Linked DNA regions of Mus musculus: all the other regions are reported to be linked to region 3. Evidence: microRNA targets listed by miRTarBase, many of them from high-throughput screens and not tested one by one. Region 3 holds a microRNA gene; each other region holds the end of a gene's coding sequence.
The links. The annotated mature microRNA mmu-miR-883a-3p reads UAACUGCAACAGCUCUCAGUAU and lies in region 3 at 3,363-3,384, opposite strand. An mRNA with a match to its seed (bases 2 to 7 or 8) in the 3' UTR can be bound and repressed. Matches are read on the target gene's strand: a 7mer-m8 pairs with bases 2 to 8, a 7mer-A1 pairs with bases 2 to 7 and ends in A, and an 8mer does both.

Region 1 (7,764 bases), not on the chromosome of region 3:
CGCTCACATGTACGGTAAAGCTCATTTTTAGAATACAGTATTGAGGAATATAGACTAAAATGAATGGTGTTTAGTTTTAAAGGCCCTCACAACATCAAGAGCATGAGACTAGAGAAGTGTCACCTCTGGCATGAGCTCTCTGACAAGCAGTGCTCACCCTGCCTTGGCTTCTCATCTGGCATCGACAGCTCTGCTCACTTGTGGATATTTTTATTGTTTCGATCATCTGGCCTGTCATCTAGCAGGATGCTAGTCCTCGTGCATGCCACATGCCTGCTTTCTGGGTTTCCTCACTGTTGTAACTGCCCATCTCACAGCCTGTGCTTCCTTCCCACTGCACCTTTGTCCCACACTTGCTATTCAAGGAAGGCTGTTTCCTGTGCTTTTATACTTTCCCACTTGGTTTCCTATACTGTAGGTGAATTACTCTACCTTTACACTGTATAGTAACAATCCTCTGCAGTTTTAGCAGGCACCATGTGACTGCAACAATTCATGTCTTGCCACAGCAACCAAAGAAGCATGTGAGCATCCTTATTCTGCACCTTTACCCAAGTTAGCTTTCCTCTAGCACAGACATGCTTTTAGCTAGAGACATTCCCTTTGTGGTAAAATAGATACACCCTTTGGTACCAACAGTGGATTGCAGTAGGGTTGCTTCAGGTGTGCTGCTGTGCTCTGGTGTGCTGCTTTGGCATTTAAAAGCAGGAAAACGCATGCATTTAGTCCCAGAGTTCCTTGAGTATGGTAGGACCTTCTGGCTCACAACATTAGTAACCTTTATTTACTGTGTAGTAAATGTAAAGTCTACTAATTAAGTGGGGGATAAAAACCAAAAATAAGACCATGACTCTTCTTTCCCTCTTCCCTAAAACTTGCCTCTACGAATAACCTTCAGTGTGCCCTCCAGCTGAACCGAAATCAGGCAGGACACAGACTCCTCCTTTCTTTTTCATCAAACCATAGAAATAGAAATCCTTCATCATAACCTCTATGCCTTCTCTCCCCTCTGCACCCCTGCCTCAGCTGCATTTTCCTGTTGCTTCAACCCAGGAGTGCTTCTTCTGTTGGGAAGAATGGGGAGAAGGGATGAGAATCCTTGACCAGTTAAAACCCAAGTCCTCAAGAAGTCATAACTTCATGGAGCTGAGAATTTCAGGCATTTCTGCTGCTGCCAAAACTCAGTTCTTTATTCATGGGACATAGAGAGGAGTTGAAGCCTCGACTCCTTCCAAATTTATATTTTCAAATTTATGTTTATGGTTTCAGGTGAAAACTTTTAAACAAAGCATGTAGCATCTCCTTATTTCTATTTGTTTGAAGAGCATCTAAAGAACGAATGCCACAGCATACATGCTGTCTGGAAACCCCATCTTTTCCACAGAAGCCCTGATCTCTGCCTTTGTACTATATAACTTGCCCAGTGCACAGTACTTCTTTGGCCCTGCTCTCTTCAAAGTTCCATAGCAGCCAGCCCCGTGGACCATATCACTCCCTCATCAGTATGTTGCTGGGAATAGAATACTGGCAGACAGTCCCAGTGTTAGAAAATGCCCTTCCCTTCATGCCTGCCATCACTCCATGTTGTTTAGCCTTATCTACAAGCTGTGGAAGAGAAACCATTTTCACTACCTGTTGTGCAAAAGCAAATGGATAAGTAATACTTCAAAATCTTCCTCTCCTGCATGGCTTCCCAAATATTCTCCCCATTCCGTGGCTTGCCAATCATTACCCTATGACATTTTCCCCTTTCCCCAAAGTTATATCCCAGAACCCTACTTTAATGCTAATATTGTGTTACTTATAATTCTAGGGACCAGCAGCACAAATACCGTTGGAGGAACAGTGAGTAGCCAGGCTGCCCAGGCTCAGCCTCCTGCTATGACTTCCAGTAGGAAGGGCACATTCACAGATGACCTGCACAAGTTAGTAGACAACTGGGCCCGAGATGCCATGAATCTTTCAGGCAGGAGAGGCAGCAAAGGACACATGAATTATGAGGTGAGTCTTCCCTTTTCCTAACCTGCCAGACTATACACAGACATGTCATGGACAGCCAAGGCTGGTATGCCATCCTTACCACTACCATCTTCAGTAGCCTGTGGATTCTATTATTGAGAAAACAAGGCAGCAATCATTTTGGTACCCTTTTTCTTCAACATCCTGCACTACCTGCATGTGCACATAAAACACATCTCAGATCCTACTTTTCACTCCTCCTTGTTAAGGGTAAAGCCAATAAATATGGGCGGCTTCGTTATATTTTGATAATGCTAAGATTAGAACATCTCAGCTCTACAACAGCATTATAGTATCACCCATTTTTCATCAAATTCTCATTGCTACTTTCTTGTTTTTAGGGCCCTGGAATGGCAAGGAAGTTCTCTGCTCCTGGGCAGCTGTGTGTTCCCATGACCTCAAACCTGGGTGGCTCTACCCCCATCTCTGCAGCATCTGCTACCTCTCTAGGTCACTTCACCAAATCCATGTGTCCCCCACAGCAGTATGGTTTTCCACCTGCCCCATTTGGCACTCAGTGGAGTGGAACAGGTGGTCCAGCACCGCAGCCACTTGGCCAGTTCCAACCTGTAGGAACAGCATCCTTGCAAAATTTCAACATCAGCAATTTGCAGAAGTCCATCAGCAACCCCCCAGGTTCCAATCTACGGACCACCTAGTCAGCAGCAAGGATGTTAACTGAGTAGATTTGGGGGCAGGAAATGGAATGCTGGGGGGGTGGGGGGGTGGGGAAGTAGCCTATATACTAACTACTAGTGCTGCATTTAACTGGTTATTTCTTGCCAGAAGGGAATGTTTTTAATACCATTTTGAGCCCTCAGAATGGAGAACCACCCTCCTTCTCCGTTTGTTGGAGTTAAAAAAGAAGGAATGAACAGCTTTCTGGTGGAGGGGCTGCTTGAGACTGCTTTTCTGTTTTTGTACCCCTCAGTAAGGCCTAGAACTAGAAGAGAACCTTGTTACCAGAAAGCCCCAAGAGCTCAATGTAAGCCAAACCCGATCTGTATCTGTAAGTGGGCAGAGCTCTTTAATTTTGACATGTGTCCCAAATTCCTTATTCCCTCAACAATGCACACCTTAAGACAAAGGTTCTCTCCCACTCTGATCCCTACCCCCACTTTTTCCCCCCCTTTTACAACCTAGTGAAAAATACCAGGGGACTGGGGTTGCAACCCTTTCTTACATAGGTCATTAATGCTTTAAGCAAAAGATATTAGCAGCTTTGACTGCAGCATTAGCAATTAGGGAAAACAATAACGTTCCCTGCGGACATGTAACTTTGCCATCAGTTTTGATGTGGAAACACTGTGATATATAAATGTTGTTGGACAACATTAGTTTTAAGAGAAAAATTTGAAAGGTTTAAAAGGTTCACACACACACAAAAGCTAGCTCTGTCCTTTACTTATTAAGACACTTTAACTTTTTCCTTTGTATTTCCATTGTATTAGATAAATAAATGTGAATGTAAAATTGTATAAATTACTGTACTTGAATACTTCTGTTCTCCCAGTATTGCTTGCTGGATATTTTAGTGCCTTGGACTTCTATTGCTTCTGCTGTTAGCATCAACTTACCAGACCCCAGGTCACCAAAGGGTATGTGGAAAGAAATCTTAGGTCCACATGACCCCAGCAGTGGATATGCCAAAGGGAAAATGAAAGTGTTTTTGGTTTTGGTTTGGTTTATTATTTTGTTTTGTTTTGTTTTGTTTTCTCAGTCGTTTCAATTTTGCCTAGAGCAGGTGTAAGGTGAGCACAGTGAAGTTGGCATCAGTGGTTGAAAACAAAGTTCTGTTTCAGAAAGAATGAGGAGGGTTGTGAGCTGTGTGTGAAAGATAAGGACTGAAGATGTGGGGACAAGCTTGTTTGAAGTGATGCTTGGCCAGTGAACAAACGAGATCTAGAAGAGATTAAACAAAAAGAGGGGAGTGGGCTAGATTTTAAGTTGGGAAGGATGACAGTGCCAAGTCACAGATGGAAAATGTTGCTCTAAGGAAACCTGCTCGGTTGCCCCCACCTCTTGTTGCACAAGTACCACCACACTTTCTCTGCTTTAAGTACTGTATTGTGGGAATTCAACCCACTTCTAACTTTCTAAGCATTGTAGGAAAAAGTGCTTATTTCCTTTCCTAGCTGTCCAAATGGTTGCACAGTCAGAATCTATTGTGCTGCCTGTACTTCTATATTAGAGCTAATACTCTCACATTTTCATACCCATATCCCCAAATAACAGCAACCAACCAGTATTATCTGATTTTCTGGCAATAGGGACCTAATTGGCTGTTTGGGATCTGAATATTCTGGAAAAGTGGAAAAAGTAGAACTCATTTCTTGGGTGCTTCCTCCTTCACCTTGAGTTGGGAACTGACACATTTCCAACTTTATGACACATCCCAGGAGTTGCCACACTAGCAAGGCTTCTTCCTGTAAGAGTCTTGTTCTTTTTAAGTTGGTCGAGGCCCAAAGATACAAGTGAGAGCTGAAAGTTTCAGGAGAGGGAAGTGTAATGAGCAGGGCTTTTGTTTCAGGTCGTGCTACCAAAGTGTTGACTCATTTATTCCTTTTGGGAGCGGTAAGAGGTACTGTGGGAGTGAAGCAGGTTACAGGATGACTGAGTGCTTCATACCAGCAGTAGAGGGAGCCAAATGCAGCATGTGGTGTTTGGTTTAGTCATTCTGAGTGAGGTCTGTTCCCCCTTCACAGAGGTTTACTTACTGTTGGTTTCCCCCTCCTGTGGATGAAATAACTGAAGCCTAGAGAAACGAGCTAGTGCTACTGAACTGTTTAAATTATTTTTGTGTTAATAGTACACTTTGAGTATCTTTCCACATTTAAAAAGAACTTTCCGAATTATAAATGTTTTCCTTACGTTATTTAACAATGTACACTGTTTAAAACTGAATTCAAACCTTGGGGTTTCTCAGCAGCCGTTACCTGTACATTTGCACTAACTCCGGGGGCTGCGCTTCTGTAAGATTGCGCTTTGTGCTTCAGTTTGTTACCTTTGTAGACTTATTTAATGAAACCATTCAAATAAACCAAACTTGCTTTTGTTGAACTGTGGGTTGTTCTTTCTGACAAACAAAAAACCCTTTTGTCCTCACTGGCCCTACCATTTATAACTAAAATCGTGCTGTTAAGGGTGAAAGTGGCACTTCTCCAAGGAGTCTGTTGCTAGTCCTCAGGAAAAGGCAAAGCAACAGCTGTTAGATGGCAGGGAAATTATTGCAAACTGCTGTCAGTCAACAGCGTCTGACATAGGTCTCAGTTTCTCACCAACAGATCTTGTCCCTGCTTCAAGACTAGGCACAGGGGCTAGAGGCACTTCTTTCTCACCAAGCCTGTGCCTGGTCCCAGGGACTCACCAATTCCCTCATAGCATAACCCTAAATTCAGCTTAAGTAGAATTGGAAGTTCATTGTTCCTTTGAAAAGAATCATGAAACTTTGGGTGTGGTATAGTTAAAGAACAGTTACTTCCTTAAAACACCTATTCCTAGGGAGACAGCTAAGTAGTTTCTCATCCAAATATCCTGAGTTCAATTCCCAGAAACCATATGGATCATGATTCCACCCTTCTTCTTTTGTTTTGTTTTTTCGAAACAGGGTTTCTCTGTGTAGCCAATTCCACCCTTCTTTAAGTGAGAAATTATGGCTTCCCAACAACCCATGGCTTTTCACTCAAAGGCTCTTCAGCCAGAGAAAACAATTCTTTAAAATGGTGCACTATTCATGTAGTATGATAAGAATCTTACCCTAACTATGCCTTTGCCAAGTACAGCCATGCAAGAAGCCTAAACTACCAGTAATCTCAATTGTAAGTTACACCAATTCTGCCAGTGTCAGTGTTCAAACATTACTTGATGGCTCAAAAAAACACTAACAGCAGAACTAATAGGAGCCAGGTGTGATGGTGCACACCTTTAATCCCAGCACTCAGGAGGGAGAGGACAGGTTCAAGGCAGCTTGGTCTAAAAAGCAAGTTCCAGGACTACATGAAAAAAAATCATCTCCAAAGGAAAAAACCTACTAAAAAGAATGCCAACTAATCCAGTGCCTTAAGCACCCCGTTTTAAGTGTTGGCACATCTCTGGATAAAGGGAGACTCCTCCATGGATCCGCATGTGATCCTGAACCGACAACATGACCTTGTTCATAGCAATGCTTAGTGGAAAACATTAAAAACCTGAAGCCAAAGGAAAGATGAGGTCACACATAATTTAATGTAGGTAACAGTCATGCTGGGGCTTGGTGGGCAACATCGTTAAATGAAAGGCAGCCTGCAAGGTCCTAGAATCAGCTTAGGAGTGAGTAATACTGAACAAAGTTTATCTGTTGGCCTCCTTCCCATCATGGGGTATGACAACCTTTTTAAGTAGTTAGCTTCCTCTATAGTCCTCTAAAGAGTTCAGCATGAGCCAAGGTGGAACAATTTTGTGACCAAACTGCAGTTTTCCAAAGTCCTTTTGTGACGGTCTAGTGACATCTTGAGTCTCAGGATGGATCTAGTTTCCTTTTCTTCAGGTCCTGGCTCTTCCTATGAGGTTCAGAGTCTTCTGTAGAAGATAATGGTTTAAATACAGCAGCCTTGACTTTAAACAGTAGCCCCCCCCCCACCACAACATTTTTATAGCAGACGTGCAGCTTGGTCTTCATGTGGGTCCCCTAACAACTAGAATAGGGCCTGTCTCACGGTTGCCTGCTATTGCATCCTCTTCCCCTAACTGGACTGCCTGATTAGGACTCCTAATTTGCCTAGTCCTGCTAGAAGTCCCAGGAAGAGGTGGTACCCAAGGGAGGCTTCCCTTAGGCTCTGAGAAGGAGAGGGACTGGGGGGCGGGGGGCTGTGATTGGGATGTAGTCATTTCTGGACTGTATTGGCCAACAACCCTCATTTAGACAACACACAATGAGTGACCATTGTGGTGTCATTCTCATTATGACATATCTACCTTGAGGAAGAAGTGATCTAAATGCAATCAGGACAAGTAGTGTGTCCAACATTTTGACATTATAAAACACTATCATCAAAGTTTGCAGCTCAAGAGCCATGCAATCAAGTTACAAAAATAATTAAGTTTGTAACTTTGTCAATGCAAACACTCATAACTTTCCCAAGTCTCATGTTGGACACACCACATTCTAGATCTAAACAGATCTAGCCATGATGTCCAGAGTCCAAAGCTCAAACCACTATCTTTTTTTTTTTTCCATTTTTTATTAGGTATTTAACTCATTTACATTTCCAATGCTATACCAAAAGTCCCCCATATCCACCCACCCCCACTCCCCTGCCCACCCACTCCCCCTTTTTGGCCCTGGTGTTCCCCTGTATCAAACCACTATCTTTACCTGAACTGCTCAGGTAAAGGACTCTGCCCAGCTTTTTTTTTTTTTTTTTTTTTTTTTTTTCTCCTTTTGAGACAGGATCTTAATATGTATGTATTCCTTACTGGCCCGATTGAACACAAGGCCTTACAACATACTAGGTAAGTGTTATACCATTGGTTGGACTAAATACCCAGCCCACAGACTTCATCTTTTATGAGGCATATCTATACCTCATAGAGCTCAGGCTGGCCTCTTCCACAGACAAAATACCAAAGGAAGTACACTTGGTTCTCTCTGGAGAGGTGCACTAATCCTGAGGGCCAGGATTGCAGGCATGTGCTACTGAGTCCTGTTTATCATCCCCCCACCCTTTCTTTTTAGTTTTTGTGCTGGGGTTTAGCCTGCATGTGTGT
Region 2 (7,713 bases), not on the chromosome of region 3:
TGCTTTCTTAGTGTTTATTTCCTGAAAGTGACTTATATGTGCTAGCTAAATAACCAGCTACAAAACAAAGGCAAGTTCAAAATAATGAATATTTGATGAGAGTAGTGTTAACTGATGAGCTAATTTGCATCATGAACCCTGGAACTCTTAACAGCTTCTTTACTCTTTACTCTTTGGGGCCTGGGGAATATAGGGTGAAAAGATCAATGAGAAGATACTAGTTTTCAAAAACATTTGGGGTATTTACCATAAGCTATTAGAATTAATAGTTTCTAAAGAACATTTCTGCAAACATCTAGGATATACTTTTGAGAGTATGTGATCAGTGATTATTTTAATTAATTTTTCTTTTGATAATTTTAGGGCAATGTGTATGTGAAGTGCCCATCTATTGCTGCGGCTATTGCTGCTGTCAATGCATTGCATGGCAGATGGTTTGCTGGTGAGTAACTGCTACGAAGACTTTATGTTGAAACACCAAGTGATTAACATTGAGTAAAAACTGCTTACCCAACTTTTTTCTTTTTGTCAACAGGTAAAATGATAACAGCAGCGTATGTACCTCTTCCAACTTACCACAACCTCTTTCCTGATTCTATGACAGCAACACAACTACTGGTTCCAAGTAGACGATGAAGGAAGATACAGTCCCTTATGTATATAGCTTTTTTTTCTCTTGAGAATTCATCTTGAGTTATCTTTTATTTAGATAAAATAAAGAGGCAAGGGTCTACTGTCATTTGTATACAACTCCTGTTACCTTGAAAAATAAAAATGTTAACAGGAATGCAGTGTGCTCATTATCCCTAACTAGCAAATCCTACTTTATGCAAAGCTGTTCTCTTGTTCTGCTGTTTTAAATGTCCATGTAGAAAATGACATTAAGGATCTATAGAATAGCTCTAGGGGAACAAATGTGCTTTCTGTATAAAGGCAGACAGGTCACGTTTTAATGTTTCAGAAACCTAACTTTTTACACAGCAGTTACAATTCACATTCATGTATTTGGCTCATGGTTCAGCAAAGGTTTCCAGAATCCACATTTAGTGTGTGAAAAGTCTAAGTGGCTGTATGGCTGCTTGGCATTTGATCTTGATTATTTGGCAAGAATGGGATTTCAAAATAATATTTCTCGATGGTAATTTTTTCAATTAATGTCTCTGTAAAAGTTTCTTTGTAAATACTGTATGTTTTAGTGTGTCTTGAGATTCCAAACAAAATGATCCCTGCATTTCCTCAAGGTGGCTGACGTAACAGATTGAGTAAGCAGTCTTGGGCAAGAGATGGGAAATGCAGAAAAAGGTTTTGTCTGGTTGCATATAATCTTTGCTCTTTTTAAGCTCTGTGAGCTCTGAAATATATTTTTGGGTTACTTCAGTGTGTTTGACAAGACAGCTTGATATTTCTATCAAACAAATGACTTTCATATTGCAACAATCTTTGTAAGAACCACTCAAATAAAATTCTCTGAAAAAGGCCACAAGAAAATTTTCGTTTTTCAAATGTTTTCATGTTACAAACTTAAGCAAAGGCTATCACAATATCCTTTGGGTTTCTTTCCTTCTTTTTTTCAAGTTAGTGTTTCAGCATTACATGCCTCAGATCTACCAAAGACTGAATATGTTACTCTCCTAACCTCTGGGCTGCTCGGAAAGGGGAGCTGTGTGTGTCAGCATACATGCCTAGACTAAGCTTATTTCATTCTTAGTGATAGACATCACTGTTGGTTGTCTAATACCACTACTACCAAGTATGTCCTCTCCACTGAAGAAAACAAGTTGCCCCTTGAAAATGCTCTCATCCTTCTCTACGTGTTTATCATTGTCTTTAGCTCTATAGTTTACAAAGTCACAAAAAAATACATAAGCACTACCATTCCTAACTCGACAAAAATAGCACCTCAAACTACTTCCTGGTCCCCAGTTACTCCTTAAAATGCTGAAGTCTTCACTACCTCATTCTTCTCTTTTCTTTTGACACCGAGGTTTCCTAAAGTCTTGACTGTTAAAAGCTGGTCACAAACCAGGAGGATGTCCTCAAACTCAGCTCCTTCTTGTTTCTAATATCCCTATGTTTAAAAAACAATTTCAATGTTTTCTTTATGAACAATGTCTATAAACATTGTTCCTGGATATATGTATACCACATACATGCTTGGTACTTGTGGAGGTCCTCTGGAAGTGAGCTTATAGTTTGTACAACAGGTGCTACGAAGTGAAGCCAAGTACTGCCCCGTCTTTCAATCAATTGGCACAATATGCATTGTAATGAATTATTTAGCCTTTTAGCAGATAGCAACTGTAGGAGGCTGTGGATTGGAACAAGGGAACTTAATTATGAATTCAAAAAAAATAAAGTATGACCTACTTGGGTGTCTAAAGCTTGCCAACCAATATATCTTACATCCTAGATGTATCAAGAGAAAAATAACAAAATTGTTTCTTGAATAAGATGTTCAGTAAAGCGTTTTGAATTGTCAGTTGTTATTACCTAATGACATTCTGAAGATCAACCAGAAAAACTCACCAAGGCTAATCAGGTTTGTATTCTTGGCCATCACAGGGGTAAGGTAACAAAAATTCCTGTAAGGAATTTTGTTAGCAACCTAGATAATTAAAATGTTCAATGCTGAGGCTGGTGATGTTTTTCTGAACTAGACAATCTCATACAATGTGCTGTTAACAGGATACCTGTTAGTAAGCAACTAAAGTTTATTTAATTGGTATGCTGGACAGGTTTAACGACGAGTCTCCATCTTCAGAGTGTTTGGATAAAGTGTGTGTATCAACAAGCCTGGGTAGAGATTTGGTTATTTGTCTCCAGAAGACAGATCATAGTTAGAATGAAACAATTTTGGGTCACCATTGAGATGGGTACTGGGACTACCAAACCTTTGGGTCTAGGATAAATACTAGGTAAAAATAGACTGATATAACGAGAAGAAAACAACTTTATTATTGTACAAGGGTCGAAATGGATGGGGAAGTTTAGGTATTGCAGGGCATCCTAGCCCTAATTAGCATCGTATGCCCATTCCAATGGCCATGAAAGTGCCAAACGTGCCGCCACTCTGCATCATGGTTTTCCCAATGCCGCCCATTAGCTCCCGACCCCGCATTCCGATCCTGAGGAGGAAACCAAGAAAGCAATTTGGGAATACAATTACAGGAATAGAGATTTGAACTAAGTACCCCCCTTTAAAATCTGTTGAATATATTAAGCACTAACAGCTTGACAATCTCATTTGTCATTCTTAAAATGCTACTCTTCCCCACATAGGATTAGCAATGACAAGGAAAATATCTATCTAGGGTCTCTAGGACCTGTGCTGAATGCTGCATTAGTTTGTAGATGCAGAGATAATGAAGTACATGGGCAAGAAAGCAGTCGTGTTTGTGCCTCTATGGTATTTTATCATTGAGTAGCCAGTTTTCTTCTAGATAATTCCTTAGTGTTTTGTTTTGTTTAACCTAGATTGAGTCAAGCGCTGCAATTTATAAACTGCATAAAGTGTAAAATGGACATTACAGACTCGGTAACTACACTTTTTAATTTATTATTTATTATTATTATTATTTATTTTGAGACGGTTTCTCTGTGTAACAGCCCTGGCTGTCTGGAACTCACATTTATATACCAGGCTAGTATCGAACTCAGGAATCTGCCACTCCGTCCAGAGTGCTGGTGGATTTAAGGTGCTCACAGCTAATGCTCGGTGGTTAACTACAGTACTTAGCACTACAATTAAACTAGTGCTGGGTAAATAGTAATTTATAAGCACAGTATCCAAATGTGATAGCAGTTTATCTCAGAGGTAGAATATTTCACTACACCTAATTCTCATCAGGCTTGCTTCATTACATGCAGTTGGGAGTTAAAACGCCATGCAACAATAATAACCCTTCGCTAAGTAATTACGACGTGCCAGATAATGTAAATCATACTAATATGATTGGCTCTTACAAAAGTGGAGGTAAGTGTCCAGTACTCCACTAAACTCAATAACACTGAACTAACAAAGGAGTCAGAAAGCCATTTTGACTTTAGAACTCAGATCCGTAAATCCTGTGCTTTCAACCTCGTCTGAGTGGGCTCTGGAGCCCTCGGAAGGCAGGAAGTTCTGTCCGCGAGGCTCACCTGAGACAGGAGAAGGTGCCGAACAGCGCCCCGGCCGCCATACCCACTGCGCAACCCATGACGAAGCCCATCTTCACGCGGTCGAAGCAGCTGGGCTGGGACTGCCCGTAGGGACCCACGGCCACCGGCATCTGCGGCGAGAGTGCTAGGACAGTGAGGGCCTGGTCACCAGCCGTGGCGTCGGCCAGGGGACGCACAGCAGGGTCACATAGCACCCGGGTCAGAAGCCAGCCCGCGGCACGCCTCCACCACCCTCGCGATGGAGGACCCCGCACGCGCGACGCAGGCCACTGTCGGGCCCCACCTCACCTCGTTCTCCGCTGCGATCGCTCAGCTCGACGTCTCACTCCGAATGCTAGGCGGAGGGCGCTCGCGGTCCGTGGGATCGCTTCCGGAGCACAGCGCAGTTACTTCCGGGAGCATGGGCTGAGGACTTGCAAGCGCCGCGGATGGTGGGCTCTGTGGCTGGGAACATGCTGCTGCGAGCCGCTTGGAGGCGGGCGTCGTTGGCGGCTACCTCCTTGGCCCTGGGAAGGTCCTCGGTGCCCACCCGGGGACTGCGCCTGCGCGGTACGTTCCCTTTCCTTTTCGTTCCCACGGTTTCTGGAGGAGCGAACCCCCTTGGGTCGGTGCTGCTAAGCACTGCATTATTGCGGATCCTACCCGCCTTGTTCCATCGCCCAGTCTCTTAAACCTTCCCGTCGCCCGGTCTCCTATTTGTTTTCGGGAGGGCCCTTACATACTGCTCCGCACTTCCCTTGAGCGGAATTCTCATCCTTCAGTTCTCTCCTGACCAAGTCTTAAAGATGCTAGATGAGCTTCCTCCTGCCGTGAACCTTTGAAGGAACCTGCGCTTTTCACTTTTCTTCTAAATGGCTTTGCTTTTTACAGCTCGTCCCACTCGGTGCTATGTAGTTTAAACATTGCCCCCGACTGCTGCTGCCCGCGCCCTTTCCAAGAACCCTGTGTCTATTACTTAACTCGATGTCTTTCAGCGCGTGTTGTTGTTTGTTTACTTTGACACTGGACCTCCGCCTTCCTTAAATTCACCTCAAAGAAGCTTTGACCATCTGTTGTTTTGTGTGCCCTTCGTCCACGGTTTCTCACTTTGCCACTGCTATCTGTTGTTAGTTGTAGATCATGGCCCCCATTCGCCTGTTCACTCAGAGGCAGAGGCAGTGCTGCGACCTCTCTACATGGACGTACAGGCCACCACTCCTCTGGTAAGGACTAACAGAGGTTCTTTGTAGGGAGGAAAGGTTAGAAGGACAAATTTCACCGACAGGCTAAAATTCATCCGACTTGAGAACTATTAAATGTGCTAGGAAAAGGAGCTGCCAGGAATCAGGAGGCTAAGATGTTAGTTTAGTAGAAAAGGCTTTACTGTTTTTTAGCTACTGACCCTGTCAGATCCTTCCAGTACAGGCATTATAACTAATAGTAATTGCTCGGGTGTTGGAGCTGGACAGTGTGGCATGGGTAGTTTGAGTGAGCTTAAGACCAGCCTAAGCCACATAGGGAGTTTCAAACCTATGTTGTTATTTTGTTTTGTTTTTAATTTTATATATACACAAGGACACTGTAGCTATGCTCAGACACTCCAGAAGAGGGCATCAGATTCCATTACAGATGGTTGTGAGCCACCATGTGGTTGCTGGGAATTGAACTCGGGACCTCTGGGAGAGCAGTCAGTGCTCTTTAACTGCTGAGCCATCTCTCCAGCCCCCTCAAACTTTTGTTTGTTTGTTTGTTTGTTTGTTAAATGTGCCAGGCATTGGTGGCACATGCCTTTAATCCCAGCATGGGGGGCGGGGGCAGAGGCTGGCAGATTTCCGAGTTCAAGGCCAGCCTGGTCTACAAAGTGAGTTCCAGGACAGCCAGGGCTATACAGAGAAACCCTGTCTCAAAAAACCCAAAAAGAAAAAAGAAAAGAAAAGTGTGTATCAGCACACCTGGCAGGCTTATAAATATGAGGTCAGATTCAACTACATAAGACCTTATCTTTCAATAAGTAAATGAAAAAATTAAAGAAAGACTTGTGGGAATTGCAGAACATTGCAGTTTGAAGTGGGCAACCTGGCAGGCTTATAAATATGAGGTCAGATTCAACTACATAAGACCTTATCTTTCAATAAGTAAATGAAAAAATTAAAGAAAGACTTGTGGGAATTGCAGAACATTGCAGTTTGAAGTGGGCATATATCAGGTTGCTATTTGATTAGTGTCTGAGAAGTGGAAGAAAGCAGAGAGTATCTGAAAGGTTGGAAATGCACTGAGCAAGGTTGGCAGGTAATGGTGGCTCGAGCAGGTTCTGAATTGACTTTGGGCTCTGTTTTCTTCTGTTCAGGATCCCAGAGTGCTTGATGCCATGCTCCCATACCTTGTCAACTACTATGGGAACCCTCATTCTCGGACTCATGCATATGGCTGGGAGAGCGAGGCAGCCATGGAACGTGCTCGCCAGGTTAGCACGAAGGACTGTGAGGAGTTCCAGTCAGTGGTCTATGTGACCTATTTCTTTCTTACAGATGGAAATAGCTGTTTTTCTAGAAGAGACTCAGGTAGTAGCTCTGGAATTTGACACTAAGTGTTTAATTAGTTCCCAGCTTCCCTAGGTGACCTCTGACAAATCCGCTCATTTCTCTAAGCCTTGAACTCCTCATCTACCAAGTGGAAAGTGAAATAGTTCATGCTGTATAAGATTATTGGGGAAATTAAATGAGGCAGTGCTCGTAAGGTTAACACTTGTGCATAACTCAAAACACATGTGGAAAGAGTTCAATAAATACATTTTTAAAAATGCATTTCGCGGGTCAATGGGACATGTCCATGGGTACCTTAACACAATGACTTGAATTTGATCCCTTAAATCTCCGTGGTATGTGTAGTTTTGTCTACACCACTTTATGTTCTTGGCTGGTTACACCTGTGTACACGGCCCAGAACCTATCTCACATCCAGGAATAGGAAACCACACACACCACGAGCTGGAGAGTTGGCTCAGCCGTTAAGAGCACTGACTTCTCTTCCAGAGGTCCTGAGTTCAGTTCTCAGCAACAACATGGTGGCTCACAACTGTCTGTAATGGGGTCCAATGCCCAATTCTGGTGTGTCTGAAGAGAGCAACAGTGTACTCACATATTTAAAATAAATAAATAAATCTTTTTAAAAAAGAGCCAGGTGATGGTAGCGCATGCCTTTAATCCCAGCACCTGGGAGGCAGAGGCAGGCGGATTTCTGAGTTTGAGGCCAGCCTGGTCTACAGAGTGAGTTCCAGGACAGCCAAGGCCACACAGAGAAACCCTGTCTTAGTAAATAAATAAATAAATAAATAAATAAATAAATAAATAAATAAATAAATAAGAGAAAACATACACACATCAGTTATTCTTTTTTTTTTAAGATTTATTTATTTATTATATGTAAGTACATTGTAGCTGTCTTCAGACACTACAGAAGAGGGAGTCAGATCTCTCGTTACAGATGGTTGTGAGCCACCATGTGGTTGCTGGGATTTGAACTCTGGACCTTCGGAAGAGCAGTCGGGTGCTCTTGCCCACTGAGCCATCTCACCAG
Region 3 (7,764 bases):
CATCAGTATGACTGATGCTTCATCTTTTTTTCTCTACCATGTAGTAATAACCATCATATTTGAGGATCCTGTCTAAATTCACCTTGAGGATGTATGCTGTGAAGATAAATACAGTATATACTAGTTTTCATGAGCCTTCATCAATTCTTGTAGTCTAGTGTGATAGGTGAACACTAGATTTCTTTATTCACAGGTCCAGGAAATGACAAAATCCTTCACCTTTCATTTCTCCTTCTGAATGTTGTGATCCCAATTTTTTATCTCATTTTGCTGATATTAAATATCCATTAATAATAAACATATTACTTTTATAATTGCACTCTCTGACCATTTTGAGGCATGTGTACAACCTTAAGCACCTTTTAAGTCTAAAAAAGTGGGGCTTTAAATGAGAAATGATGAAAATGGTAGCAATCTCAAGGATGCCTTTGAAGACGAAGTATAAGGTCCAGGGTATACAAAGTAAGGAGCTTGTTGAACATTACTCACTCTGAGAGACCATGTGTACACGCACTTAAGTCTCACTGACATTAATGTGTATAGGGATTGACACTAAAAAGCTTTCAGGAGAAATAGTACTCAGCAGAGAAGAGCCCACCAACTGCTTTTCCATGGTCAGCACTGAAATAACATACATAAAACTTTCAAAATATGGACTAAGCAGGGCATGAATGAGAGAGAGAACAAAGGGGTTAGTTGATTAGAGTGGCTGAAGGGAAGAAACGAAAGGGGAGAATTATAAAATATTTTAATTTAAAAAGCACTTAAAAATTAAAATGAAACTAAACTTATTTTCCATAGTGCTATGTCCCTAATTTTAAATATTTTCACCTATGAGAAATAGGAATTAGATGAAAGGTTCCCCCTATATCTTCACCTAAACAATGTCCTGTGAAGGTAGCTACAATCGATCTTAGAATCAGAAAATACTCTTGCATGTGCATCTATGTTCTTACATTTACAATGACAGTACTTTATGAGTATCCTTATATTGAGAGAGATACCCCAAACTGTTTAAACTGTTTAAACCCTTTTCTTAAAGAGACTTCCTCCACTGCCAGAGATCTTGAATAGCCTCCTGGTCAGTCATCCGGAAACAATTCTTCACATAATTAATGAACTTGGCTTCCACTTTGGGAAGAGAACCGCCTTTTTCTATACTTGCTTGCATTTTTGCCTTAATGTCTTCTACAGAACTAGGTCCTTTTGGTGTTTTAGGAGTCTTTTCCTGTTTTTTGAAGGACTCTTGACCCTTTGATCTCGGTGTTGACGGTTTTAAGTCTTTTCCATTTTGGTTTGATTTTTGTGCATTTTTGGCTGGGGTATCTCGTACAGATTTCTTCACTGGGACCTTTTCTTCAGTTTCCTCTTCATCAAAATCATCATCATCATCATCCTCATCATCCTCATCATCGTCCTCATCATCTTCATCAAGTTTTACTTTTTTCTGTATCCTTATATTGAGAGAGGTTAGTAGAAAGTGACTGGTATCTGTCCTATATCACAATGCACACACCAAAATGAATGGAGACATATCATCTCATCTGACTCTTGCATTACCAAGAAGTTTCAGGAGTCCTTAACTCAAGTTCTTAGGGAATATATATACTCTCCTTCACTTTCTATCTCTACCACTTCTGGATCAGAGAGATAAAAGTCCTTTAACTTTATTTAATTACTGGGAAGGAAATTATTTTTTTTTTCTTTAGATTATCTTCTTTCTTTACATTCTCTATTTTGAAAGTACCCATGAGGTGAAACATGGATAGTCTACACTATGTTGAAAAAGTAAGGATATGGGGCAACAAAGACTCAAACCGTTTCTGTGTTTAGTCTTTCATTAACACAGTGTACCTCATTTTCTTTTTATGAAAGCATAATTCTTAATTTTAGCACCTTGTTCTCCTTTTCCTTACCTAACATAGATGCTTGAATGCTGTCCCATGAAAGTGATTAAAAAGATACACACAATTGTATAGTAAGGCTTTGTGATCATCCTGAAAACCATTATCAGTGATCTTACATGGAAAGCACTAATACTACCTAGAACCTATCAAAAATAACTGAATTAAAGAGCAGTACTTTACCTGGAAGATTTGTCGGTAGTCCAACTGTCTAACAGCTTCTTGAGTGAGATATAACATAAAGCATGAAGATATGGAGGTATCATCCATGTAGGCTAATCATCCCAAGCAGTTTTCATCACTTCACCAATTACAGCATGACATATTAACATTGATTTATTTATTTTCAACTGTTTGGGAATACAAAATATACTTTGTCACCTTGCATGATAAAGGAAGACCTCTTGACCTATAGCCAGATAGCCAGTGTGACTTTAAGATTAATCAGTGATATACTTTGCAAATGACTTTTAAAAACTAGGTAATGAAAATCTTCTAAAAGAATCAGAATATTGGGAGCATAGGATGAGAATACAACACAATTGTACCTGTATATCGCTGTTCAATTACTGGAGAAAGTTACAGAATACAGAAGATAGGAACTTGGTCTATTTAAATTCAAATCACTGATACCATCATAATTTCAGTGACTTGAATTTAAATCTGTTTGGTTCTTTTTCACTTAGGGCCATATTTATAAAGGAAGACTCTAATTACTTGTAGCTTTTCAGTCCACTTTCGTGCACTCATCATCTAAGTTGTCACAAGATATTTGAATTGATATTCAGTTGGGCCTGAAATCATTGATTGGTTTTATTTCTGATATTTATATTCATGATCCCTATTGAGACTGGCATGCAATTTTCTGTTCTTATAATTTGTATAATTTGGGTTCTGTGCAAGCTAGAATAATGCTAACTTCCACAACATTTAAACTTAAAAAAAAAATGAGAGCATAGTTTCTTCAGGTACAAGGAAGCAGATTCTGGAGCCATAATAAGGATGTATAGTTTCTTCATCTTTACTACCCAAGGCCACAACAAATGAAGAACATGATGAGCTTTACTTTACCCAGCATGGTGGCTTTCACCTACACTTCACGTGATTAGCAACCATGTGAGTAGAGCACTGCCCAGGTACTCTAGAACCAGCCCATCTGAAGTCTTTATTTCAACATGTGAAATAAAATTGAATAGAACATTGAAGTAAGTCGTCAACAATAATTACTTTTTTTTTTTAACCACACATTCTTCTTCGAAGCTGTCTTCTCATGTTCCACCATTAGGATTTTTCTTAGTATACTTCTAAAGTTCTACAACCGTTCTCTTCTCTATGGTTATAGATCTGAAGATATCATGAAGATGGATGAAGTATAATCCAGAATCAGTACATTTATCTTCTCTATGAAGGCATAATATGACCATATGGCTACCATCCCTGCGTTTGTTGAGCCTTACAATACTGAGAGCTGTTGCAGTTACTTATAGAATAAAGTAACTGCTACTTCTCTCAGCATTATAGTGCACACGAATTATTATTATTATCAGCTGACTTCAAAAACAACTTTCATGATTCTTCTCAGTATGACATGAATGCAATGTTATTTCTTTACACATAATTCCTCAGGAAGTATAATCATATTTTCCATTATCTTCCATCTCCATTTCAAGGTATCAGACTTGCTTCTTTCTTGATACTCCTCGAATCTGTATGAATTCAAGAGGTTAAGAATTAACAAGTCATAGCCGGGCGTGAATCCCATCACTCGGAAGGCAGAGGCAGGCGGATTTCTGAGTTCGTTTAAGGCCAGCCTGGTCAACAGAGAAACCCTGTCTCAAAAAAACAAAACAAAACAAAACAAAAATAGAATTAACAAGACAAATATTCTTATAAATATATAGGTCAGGTGACACCAAAGAATAACAAATGAACAAGGCAAGACCTCAAGATACCTGCAATGATTTAGTCATCAGCATCAAGAGAATATATCAAATGAAGGCTTCAGTATGTATTAATCTGTACTTTGAGATAGCATAGACTGATCCTTTGTACTTCATCTCAACAACAACAATTTCATCCAACAGCTTTTATCACAATCTTCACAATTAAACACACCCCCACTAAACTGTGTCTGTAAATGTTTGATTTCACACTTAAGCTGATGATATTGAAAATCCAATTGATTTTGCATGTACATTTCACATAAAAACCTGTCACTACCCTAACTTAAAGAGAAATGATGATCACAACAAAACATATTCTTTTATCAAACTTAATTATAATTATGACCAAAGTGAATATGAAATTGTAAAGGATTAATAAAAATATAATTTAAAAAATGTGGATTTTAGGTCAAAAGTTTTATGGGTGGGTTCGTGTCCTTATCTTTCACAGGAGGTCCTGCCTGTTTATAGGAGGTGGCCTCTTCAGGTTCCATGTCCACATTGTTAGGCATCTCAGCTAAGGTCACACACAATGGCTCCTGGGAGCCTTCCCTATCCTAGGTCTCAGGGTCTGCTTAGAGATTACCTCCACCCGTAAGTCCCCTGCAAGATAGAGATTTCCATTCATTCTCCTGGGCCTATGGGCCTCTTTCTTTTCCCTTCCCACACCTGATCCTGCAAACATATCCCCCTCACATACCCACATTGCTCCCTCTGCCTCCCATGACAGTTCTGTTACCCTTTTTAAGTGTGATTCAAGCATCTTCAATTGGGCCTTCCTTCTTGTTTAACTTCTTAGGGTCTGTGGGCGTATGTCATGGGTATAAGTATGTACATACCATGCATGTTCTTTTCTGTCTGGGTTATCTCACTCAGGATATTTTCTAGTTCCATCCATTTGACTGCAAAACTCAGGATGTCCTCCCTCTTAATAGCTGAGTAGTATTCCACTGTGTAAATGAAATACATTTTCTCTATCTATTCTTCAGGTGAAGAATATCTGGGTTGCAGTATTGCTGAATCTTCAGGTAGAACTATTTACAATTTTTTTGAAAAAACACCAGATTGATTTCCAGAATGGGTCTTCAAGATTGCAATCCCACCAGCAATGGAGGAATGTTCTTCTTTCTTCTCCACATCCTTGCCAGCATCTGCTGTTGCATCAGTTTTTTATCTTAGCTATGCTGATTTGTGTAAGATGGAATCTCAAAATTTGTCCTGTCTAAAAGAAATGCAGGGACAAAGATAGATCAGAGACTGAAGGAATGGCCAACCAATAACTCGTCCAAAGTGAGATCCATCAAATGAAAAAACACCAATCTCTGACATTATTAATGATACTCTGTTATGCTTGCAAACTCTGTTATGCCTTGAGAAGTTCCAACCAGAAGCTAAGTGAATAGATGTAGAGTCCCACAACCAAACATTGAACAGAGGTTTCAGACGACTTATGGACAAGTTGGGGAAAGGACTGAAGGGCCTGAAGGCAACAGGAACACCATAGGAAAACCAAATATGTCTACTAACCTGGACCACTGGAAGCTACTGGAGACTTTTTCACCAACCAATGAGCATACATCGGTTGGACAAAGACCCCTGGCACATATGTAGCAGAGGTCAGCCTTGTCCTGCCTCTGTAGGAGAGGATTATCCTAATTATGCAGACTTGATGAGCCTGGATGAGGGGCAATGGAAGAGGGACTGTAAGGGAGGCAACATGAGATATAAATAAAAAACATGATAAGACCAAATTTAAGTATTATTTATCTATAAATCAATCTTTGTAGAGACTGTGCTAGAAGCAAAACTTCACCTTGTGTGAGGAGCCGCCCTCACATTTGCCATTATAAGATGGCACTGACAGCTGTGTTCTAAGTGGTAAACATAGTCTGCACACATGCAGGGGCAGTTTTCCCACCATGTGTTCTGCCTTTCCCGTGATGACAACTGGGCCGATGGGCTGCAGCCAATCAGGAAGTACTACATCCTAGGTGGAGGATAATTCTCCTTAAAAAGGGATGGGGTTTCGCCATTTGCTTGCTTGCTCTCTTGCACTCTGGCTCCTGAAGATGTAAGCAATAAAGCTTTGCCGCAGAAGATTCTGGTTTGTTGCGTCTTTCCTGGCCGGTCGTGAGAACGCGTTAATAAGAATTGGTGCTGAAACCCGGGATCGAACCAGGGACCTTTAGACCTCTCAGCAATGCAGGCTTAGCGGCTGCCATCCTTCAATCCCAAAAATGCTCCATGGGCAGAAATGATCGGAGGACATGTTTTAACTGCAGAAAGCCTGGGCATCTTAAGAAAGATTGCAGAGCTCCAGATAAAAAGCGGGGAACCCTCACTCTTTGCTCTAAGTGTGGCAAGGGTTATCATAGAGCTGACCAGTGTCGCTCTGTGAGGGATATAAAGGGCAGAATTCTTCCCCCACCTGATAGTCAATCAGCTTATGTGCCAAAAAACGGGTCATTGGGCCCTCGGTCCCAGGGCCCTCAAAGATATGGGAACCGGTTTGTCAGGACCCAGGAAGCAGTCAGAGAGGCGACCCAGGAAGACCCACAAGGGTGGACCTGCGTGCCGCCTCCGACTTCCTACTAATGCCTCAAATGAGTATTCAGCCGGTGCCGGTGGAGCCTATACCATCCTTGCCCCCGGGAACCATGGGCCTTATTCTCGGCCGGGGTTCACTCACCTTGCAGGGCTTAGTAGTCCACCCTGGAGTTATGGATTGTCAACATTCCCCTGAAATACAGGTCCTGTGCTCAAGCCCCAAAGGCGTTTTTTCTATTAGCAAAGGAGATAGGATGGCTCAGCTGCTGCTCCTCCCTGATAATACCAGGGAGAAATTTGCAGGACCTGAGATAAAGAAAATGGGCTCCTCCAGAAATGATTCTGCCTATTTGGTTGTATCTTTGAATGATAGACCTAAGCTCCGCCTTAAGATCAACGGAAAAGAGTTTAAAGGCATCCTTGATACCGGAGCAGATAAAAGTATAATCTCTATACATTGGTGGCCCAAAGCATGGCCCACCACAGAGTCATTTCATTCATTACAGGGCCTAGGATATCAATCATGTCCCACTATAAGCTCTGTTGCCTTGACATGGGAATCCTCTGAAGGGCAGCAAGGGAAATTCATACCTTATGTGCTCCCACTCCCGGTTAACCTCTGGGGAAGGGATATTATGCAGCATTTGGGCCTTATTTTGTCCAATGAAAACGCCCCATCGGGAGGGTATTCAACTAAAGCAAAAAATATCATGGCAAAGATGGGTTATAAAGAAGGAAAAGGGTTAGGACATCAAGAACAGGGAAGGATAGAGCCTATCTTACCTAATGGAAACCAAGACAGACAGGGTCTGGGTTTTCCATAGCGGCCATTGGGGCAGCACGACCCATACCATGGAAAACAGGGGACCCAGTGTGGGTTCCTCAATGGCACCTATCCTCTGAAAAACTAGAAGCTGTGATTCAACTGGTAGAGGAACAATTAAAATTAGGCCATATTGAACCCTCTACCTCACCTTGGAATACTCCAATTTTTGTAATTAAGAAAAAGTCAGGAAAGTGGAGACTGCTCCATGACCTCAGAGCCATTAATGAGCAAATGAACTTATTTGGCCCAGTACAGAGAGGTCTCATGCTGGTTAATCAACTCATAGATCTTGTCCAGATACAACTAGATGTATTATGACAAATAACTCAGCAGGGATGTGAACAAAAGTTTCCGGGATTGTGTGTTATTTCCATTCAGTATGTTAAATTTACTAGGGCAGCTAATTTGTCAAAAAGTCTTTTTCAGTATATGTTACAGAATTGGATGGCTGAATTTGAACAGACCCTTCGGGAATTGAGACTTGCCATCATTCAGGTCAACTCCAAGCGCTTGGACCTGTCCCTGATCAAAGGATTACCCAATT
Region 4 (7,764 bases), not on the chromosome of region 3:
GGAGATAAAAGTTACTCCTTCTGTTCTAACCCTTAAAAGATCAAGTTACTCAGTTGCTGTTTTGGCTTTTAAATCTTTGTAGGTAGAAGAAAATTAAGTGTTTCGGTTTAATAAACCTTTTGTGTGTGTTTTTTAGTAGTAATAAAGCAATAGTGATAAGGCTTACCAAGCAAGCACTGAACATTATCCGGAGAATAGGACTGAGCAGCTAGTTAGTCCTATTTACTTAAGTTTATTTCCTTATGTAGGAACTGTTCTTGTTCTACATTGCAGGAGGGGAACCAGGCTTAGAGGTTTGGCTAGTAAAAGGTTTATCCAGGCCTGAAGCCCAGATCATTTTGATGTTTTTAATTCATTAATTTTATGAGTTTGATAGACTGTCTTCATTTATGATAGCATAAAACACTACTGTTTTTACAGGTATGCATGTGATAAATTTGCTACTTAATATTTGCCAGCTTATCAAGTGGGTACATTATATATTAATTTTATATTTGTCCATACAGGTGAAAAACCATACAAGTGTCAAATTTGCAATCAGTCGTTTAGAATTAAGAAAACTTTAACAAAACACCTGGTTATTCACTCTGATGCCCGGCCTTTCAATTGTCAACATTGCAATGCAACATTTAAGCGGAAAGATAAGCTGAAGTACCACATTGACCATGTTCATGGGATAAAATCTCCTGATGATTCTCTCAGTACTTCTGAGGAAAAACTCATGTCTTTGCCAATGGAGTACTCATCTGATGATAAGATCTTTCAAGCAGAAACAAAACAGTATCTGGACCAGCCCAAAGTTTATCAGTCGGAAGCCAAGACTATGCTACAGAACGTGTCTGCAGAAGTATGTGTTCCAGTAACATTGGTCCCAGTTCAAATGCCTGACACATCCAGCGATCTGGTGCCTCATACCACCACACTTCCCACATCGTCCCATGAGATGCTGCCACCACAGCCACAGTCAACTGATTATCCTCGTGCAGCAGACTTAGCATTTCTGGAAAAATACACTCTTACTCCTCAGCCTGCAAATATAGTTCATCCCGTCCGACCCGAACAGATGCTAGATCCTAGAGAACCATCTTATCTCGGGACATTACTGGGCCTTGATAGCACAGCTGCTGTCCAGAATATGTGCAGTAGTGAGCATCGTTCATGAGTAACCATTCCATAGGCCTTTTAATGCTGTAAGCTGACAGCCAGAAGCTAATGGCTTTTGAATTAGTAGGGCTGCTATTTTTTCCCCCATCTTTTTCCCCTAATTTCTCAAGTCTTCAGAACAGCTTCAAATCAAGAAAAGTTTATTTCTATTGACTGAATACTTGGACACATTTTGACATATTTGAAGTATGATTTTTTAAAAAAAAATCATTAGTACTAATTTTGAAATTTTTAAATTTCAGATTATTAGCTGCTGACAATGGTGGAGGTATTTTTTTTAATCATCAGTGGAATTTTTTGTTTGTTTGTTTTTTTTGAGACAGGGTCTTAGTTTGTAGCCCAGGTAGCCTCAATTTGTGATAGACTTTCTGCCTTAGCCAACCAGTTGCTAGGATTACAGGTGTGAGCCCCAAGCCAAGGTTTTACTTTTAATCATCTGTTTTGTCCGTTTCCCATATTGCTATGAAGTTTTAAGAACCATGTAGCCTATAGGAAGGAATGTAAACATATGTCAATATTGGCAAAATTTTAATACTAATTAAATATTTTGTTCAGATTTTCAAAGTTGAGTTTAGAAACTTATTGAAATTTCTTACATATTTTTGTAAGAAAATCTTGATACTTTGAGGTTGTCATCTATCCATTCTTTTTGTCAGTATATTTGGGTTTTTCACAAGCCAAAATCCAAGAGCTCACAATTACAGGATTAGCATGCTAAATGAAATATAAGGTTGTTATTTTAATCCAGATGATTGGACCTGTACTCAACTATGATAAGTAATAAATACAAACTTAGCTCTAGACATTAAATTATCTAATTGAGTATATCGTAATGAAAAACTGTCAGTTTCACCTACATATCATCAATGTACATTGGCATTTTGTATTTGGGCACTTCCTCCTCGTTCCCAGTATGTGTCAGTATCTACAGATGAGTAAGGAAGGAAGGGACAAGTGTAACTAAAGTGATGGCAGTTCAGTTACACAATGGAGTTAGCATTTCATTTACCACATTTGGCTGACTGAAGCAGGGAAACAGAACCTAGATATTTTACGTGTAGTTATCAGAAAAGGTGCCAAACCCATTCTCAAATCCGCCCTAACTTAACAGGATGCTCTTCAGCTGAGTGCACTACTGTTGGTGTATAGATTGACACTTAAACCAGATCTTTCTTTTTGCTTCTGTATGAGATTTGTCTCTATTCTTCATTGTTTCTGGATGAGGCAGTGGTTGAAGTCTTGGTGAAAGAAAATAGGATTTACAGCAGCGCTTCACAGATTAAGTTTAAGTGAAGGACAAAATCTTCCAGAATTACGAAATATCTTTAGAGATGTGCACTTTGCATTATTTTCAACTCAATTTCATCTTAATATAGGATGAGTTTTTCCTTGTGGGGTTGCTGATGCTTAAGACAGGTAGGGTTGGCTCACTGTTAACATGCAGTTTGTATGGAAACTACTGGAAAAATAGCAGTTGTCAAAACTTTTCTATTTCAATTTGTTTACACTCCTAATTGCTTTTAGCACTTTTGTGTGTGCGTGTGTGCGTGTATGTGTGTGTGTGTGTAAACTGTAACGTTTTGCTTGGCCCTTGTGGGTTTTGAAAACATATCACAAATAAAATAATAAACTTCTAGTGAATAAAATGTAATCAAAAAGGAGGAAACTGTTTAAGCACTTAAGAAATGAAGGTACTTTATAGGAACAGTTGCCATATTAATGTTCAAAGAGCATGTTGCAAATTGAGGCATTAACCAAAGTAGCTAATATAAATAATAAAGATAACCTGAGTTTTGCCTCACTTATCAAAGTTTGGTTGTTGTAATTGTCTTTGGACTAGTGAACTTAATTTTGTATTATTATTGCTAAAGTCTTCTTACTTAGTGTGGAAGTGTTCTGTGGGCACTGATAACTGAGTAGAGTCTGAGCACTATGAGTCCTGGACTTATAAATCATTGTCAAGAGTACAGATTTGTGATTTCTATCCAAAGGCAGAGAAGATTTCTAACTATCTTACTGAAATGAAAACATCATACTTAGAAATGTACTTTGCTTTAGAGATAAGCTAATGTAGAAAATTTTGGGTTTATCAGAAAAGGCAAATGTTATATATGTGTTTATGTGCATGATGAATTGTATATTCTGACAGAAAAGGAGGATACAGCATTTTCACAGTGGAAATATTACCTTGGGTTTTGAAGGTATTTAAGGTTCTTTCAATAATGATATTCTAACACTTTAAATATATGACTTAATTTTAGTAATTGGTTTACATAGGACTTTTGAAGAATATAGCTCTTATGTAAAGTGGCATACAATTTTATAATTGTACTTAGCTATTATTGTAGAAAAGCTGAAATAGTGTCTGTTATTTAAACCATTTTCATGTTATCTCATTTGAACCTAGTAAGCAATTTTGAAATAGAAAGGAAATGATGTATTTCCATTTTAGAGAGATACTGAGAGTCATTTAGAGTCATTTGACTCTACTCTCATGCCAGAACTGCCTTGAGTGGAAGGAGGAGACACATGGCATTAAAAAGGCTTACTATGTGCAGGACTGTGTTCTCCAGTTCCTAACGCAGTCTGCAGGTAGACAGTAGAATATTTAGGAAGAAATGAGGAAACCCATAATAATGAAAAGATTACTGTTCCCTCTAGTTTCCAAAAATGTAAGAACATGGATTTGAGAAAACTGAATGTATAAATATTTTAAGTTAGCACAAAAATTATAAAATAGACCCTACTCTTCTTAGTTGTCCTTTTTATGACTCTAAAATCATTATTTTGTAACTATGGTTAAAATTTTGAATCTCACACGTACGTTTAGCCTCATTGTGAATATTTTGTGGGTATAATTTATTGTTTTAAATTAATTTTGGTAGATACGTTAGCACTTAATCTGTAAATTGAATAAGTTATTGAGTGCAGAAATTTATTAACTTACTGTCACTGACTTAATGCACCAAAGATTTTGAGTAGGTATTGAGTAGTTGAAAAGAATTTAAATTCTTTGTTGTTTGACTATATATTTGTCCAAAGAAGCACAGCTGACGTCCTTGGATACTGAATTTTAAAAATTGTTAGTTTGAATACTAAGATTAAGTATTAAATGTTTGTGTTTATGTGTATAAAATAAGTAGAGGAAAGTACTCTGGGAACATTCATACTGACCAACCAGTTACAAGTGAGAATACTCATTTCTCTCAGTTTAGTTGAATGCAGTTTTTTTTTTAAATGAACACTATTCAATAATCTTATATTTTACACTACATTATAAAAATAATTTCTGCCTTAGAGGTTTTTTGTTTGTTTGTTTTTTAGATCAAATCGAGGTTATTTTTATAAGAAATCCCTTTGGTTTTGACAGCCTAAAATACTACGTAACCATAGGGTTTCTTCCTCATGCCAGCAAGATACCTTTAAGCTATTATAAAAGTAGTAAAGTTTGCAGGCTTAATCTAGAGCCTTTCTGCTGGGCAAAGAGGAATAAAAATACCATTTAAACTGGTGCTTTAATAAACTGACTGCCTTTTAATGATGGTAGCATAAAAGAAGTACACTGCTTTCTTTCAACCTTAAAAAGTGTCAAAAAACACCTTTTTGGAGTGACTGTAAAGTATTAAGGGCTAATCTGTTCCACCTATTGCTTTCTCACTCAATCACAAGTTACCTAAACACAACTAACCTGCTGTGTCTATGAGCTTGAGTGTTCTTCCTACAATATCACTCTAATTTATTATTTATCAAGAGGTTTGAACATTAGTTAAGAGTGTCCTTTTAGACCATCTTTTCTGAATTTGAATACTTTGTACTTTTTCAGAGATGTGTAGTTGTGTAGCATTTTCTCTGTTGCCTAGATTGTACTGGTAAATAAATGACTTGTTCATTTTGTTTTATTTTTTGGTTCTGAGTCTTAATATCCCTGTTGCCTGCTGGCTGGGCAATAGCCTTTTACATGTTATATTAACTTAGGAAAATTGGCATTTCGCAGTAGTGTGGACATCGGTCTTTATTATAATTTACATGTCTTCTTTTAAGTTTGTACTGTGGCCTTTATAGCTATGGAGTCACTCCTCAGCCTGTCTAGATGTTGAGCAGAATCGGAGAGAAGGAATTGTATGTCTGCTCCTCTTGTTACTCTTTCTCTCTGACTGCTCTCCCCTTAAGGAACTTGTTACCAGGAACACACAGCTCTGCACCGGAGACTTAGTTCACTTTCCTTGAACTGAACGTGGTTGGTGGTGTAAGAAGAGCTGCTGTTAGTGAGCGGCGGCATCCTAGTCAACATTGAACTTGAGTTGATGACTCAGGAAAAAGCACGACTTTTCAACAGTCATGTTTGGACATATTTAGTGCCAAATTTCAAAAGACTGAAAATGAATAATTTAATAAGGAATAAGTACTGTTTCTTAATTTTTAAGTGGAATTATGTTAAATGTTACCTACTATTAGTGTGAGTAATGAATTGAGAGTAATTTTCTACACAGCTTATAGGAACTTGACAATTCTGCATATCCCACTCATTTCTTTTGCCTGTTTTCCTTTTAGTAATCTCTGTGTGTTCTTTTTTGGTGTCTTTCCATGTTTCTTATAACATTTTTACTTACAATACTTTCCCTTGTGTTATCAGCATGTCTTGCGCTTCCTCTTTGGAAGTGGGTTATTATTACAAAAGCAATAGGATTAGATTGATTGTGTGGGAGATGAGAAGACGGTGATTTGGCAAGGAGGGTGTGCTTACGTTCGACTTATTCGTGTTTTAACTTACTGTATATTGGTCTTAAGTCTGTGATCTTTGAAAGATCCCCAAGCCACTTATTTAAAGAGAATTTAAAGATGTTATTTGGAGAACAAATGTTACTTAAAGATGAAAACCTTCTGAATTCTCAAGTAAAGCTAAGCAATTTCAAAATTTGCATTACTGCCGGAGATTCTGAAACGTCTCTTGAATGAAGAGCATGTGTACATCTCATTGTCACTATGCCTCTCTGTTTGATATTCCTGCTTGTATAAAGTTGAATAATGTACTGTGGTGTGATTACTGAACTTTATCCTTTTAACAATCCGACTTTTCTCCTTGTAACTATTAACAGTTGATGAGGGTGATTGCCAAAAGCTAGGTGTTTAGCTGCTCTGTGTTCTGTCATAACTGTTCTATTTAAGGGAGAAATGGTATATATTGAAATAGAAATGCTTTTGTTTTCTGTCTCTAATCAGAATCTTTGTTTTTAATTAAGGACAGTTTTAAAAGCAATTACAAAGGAAAATCTAAAATATCAAAATTCATTATTTTTCACTGTATGACAAATGTCTTAAGTTTAGTAGATATTTTGTTTGTCTCGTGTTCCTTAAATATAAATGTATAGCAAAAATTCAGTTCCTTGTGAGGAGTAGATGAGGTCTTGCATATTAAATTAGTTCCTTATGTTATTTTGATATTTAAAATAAACAGTTCTTTGGTCCTAGTAAAGCACACCCAGGTTCTTTTCACATTACACTTTCAGCGTGGGGTCACAATGTTCTGCAAGTCTCTATATAAAACGTAAAAATGATGAACAAAGGCAAAACCAAGTATCTTGGGAACGTTTTGAAACATGATTTTAATAAATTACAAATTATTTAAAATATCTTAAATATATATTAAATACATAGTTGAATCGGCCTTAATTTTTTTATATATATTTTCAAGTATTAGATAGAGATAACTTTGAAGTAGTCATATTGCTTTTGGGGAATTTTAAAGTGTAGCAAAATTCTATTACTGAAAAACTATATCCTATAAAATACTAAAAGTGGGCATTCCTCCCCCTCCCCTCATTTCTGCAATTCTTCGTTCTGGTTTTGGGGGGAAGGCTTGCTGTAAAATGTTAATAACTCTACAGGATCTCACCCCAACCTAACAAGCTCCATTTCTGTTCCAGTCTTCAATGTGCCATCACTATTGGTTATAATCACAAAGAGAGATCATGTCTAAAAAACACAAAACAGCCCAACAACATGCTACCAGCTCATTACATCTCTGGTCAGCCAAGGAAACGTATAAAGGTGGTTAGTTCTGAACAGACATGTCAGATAGGAAGACTTGGTTTATATAAATATTTCTTGGCTAACTGGTAATGTGTGACAATCACTGTGGAACTTTCTGACATAGTGACACAATGTTGGTAAACCACACAAGTTACTAAAAAGAAATCACATTAACTGTACAGCATTGTTTGTAGGCACAAAATGAAAACTCAGCCTGGTCCCGTTTAAGAGAGTGTTTATTCAGAGGTCACATATGAAAGACCATGGCCAATGGACACAGATATAATTTATTCCAAGTTCGATGTTCCAAGGTCGTAACAAGTCAATGATGGTCTTGTTTTTGTTTTGTTGTTGTTTTTACAATACTTAGAGGCAACCGGACGTGGTAGTGCACGCCTTTAATCCCAGCACTTGGGAGGCAGAGGCAGGCGGATTTCTGAGTTCCAGGACAGCCTGGTCTACAGAGTGAGTTCCAGGACAGTCAGCGCTATACAGAGAAACCCTGTCTCGGGAAAAACAAAACAAAACAAAACAAAGCCAATTAGAGGCACTTTTCAAATACATAGGAGA

Region 1: miRTarBase lists Rad52 as a target of mmu-miR-883a-3p. Seed matches in the 3' UTR shown: 7mer-m8 at 6,464-6,470.
Region 2: the mRNA of Rbm39 is a reported target of mmu-miR-883a-3p. Seed matches in the 3' UTR shown: 7mer-A1 at 981-987.
Region 4: the mRNA of Zbtb41 is a reported target of mmu-miR-883a-3p. Seed matches in the 3' UTR shown: 7mer-m8 at 2,604-2,610 and 7mer-m8 at 4,385-4,391.

The regions. Positions count from the first base shown.
Region 1 is chr6:119,921,284-119,929,047 of GRCm38, reverse strand. It overlaps Rad52 (RAD52 homolog, DNA repair protein), which reads right to left. Exons shown (of 12, transcript NM_001166381.1): 12 at 6,225-6,576. The coding sequence ends at 6,515. It overlaps Wnk1 (WNK lysine deficient protein kinase 1), which reads left to right. Exons shown (of 28, transcript NM_001199084.1): 27 at 1,814-2,001; 28 at 2,361-5,079. The coding sequence ends at 2,678. Among named protein-coding and RNA genes, the nearest start is that of Rad52, 22 kb to the right of the region's middle.
Region 2 is chr2:156,141,014-156,148,726 of GRCm38, reverse strand. Rbm39 (RNA binding motif protein 39) reads left to right here. Exons shown (of 17, transcript NM_001291114.1): 16 at 364-442; 17 at 536-1,488. The coding sequence ends at 636. It overlaps Nfs1 (nitrogen fixation gene 1 (S. cerevisiae)), which reads left to right and starts at 4,541. Exons shown (of 13, transcript NM_010911.2): 1 at 4,541-4,707; 2 at 5,269-5,360; 3 at 6,485-6,601. The coding sequence starts at 4,587. Romo1 (reactive oxygen species modulator 1) reads right to left here and starts at 4,574. Exons shown (of 3, transcript NM_001164216.1): 1 at 4,447-4,574; 2 at 4,138-4,268; 3 at 2,933-3,125. The coding sequence starts at 4,268. The coding sequence ends at 3,017.
Region 3 is chrX:66,777,406-66,785,169 of GRCm38, forward strand. Mir883a (microRNA 883a) reads right to left here and starts at 3,428; the gene lies at 3,353-3,428. It overlaps Mir742 (microRNA 742), which reads right to left and starts at 3,032; the gene lies at 2,968-3,032. It also overlaps the pseudogene Gm14681.
Region 4 is chr1:139,446,369-139,454,132 of GRCm38, forward strand. Zbtb41 (zinc finger and BTB domain containing 41) reads left to right here. Exons shown (of 11, transcript NM_172643.5): 11 at 507-6,639. The coding sequence ends at 1,162. Among named protein-coding and RNA genes, the nearest start is that of Aspm, 4.5 kb to the right of the region's middle.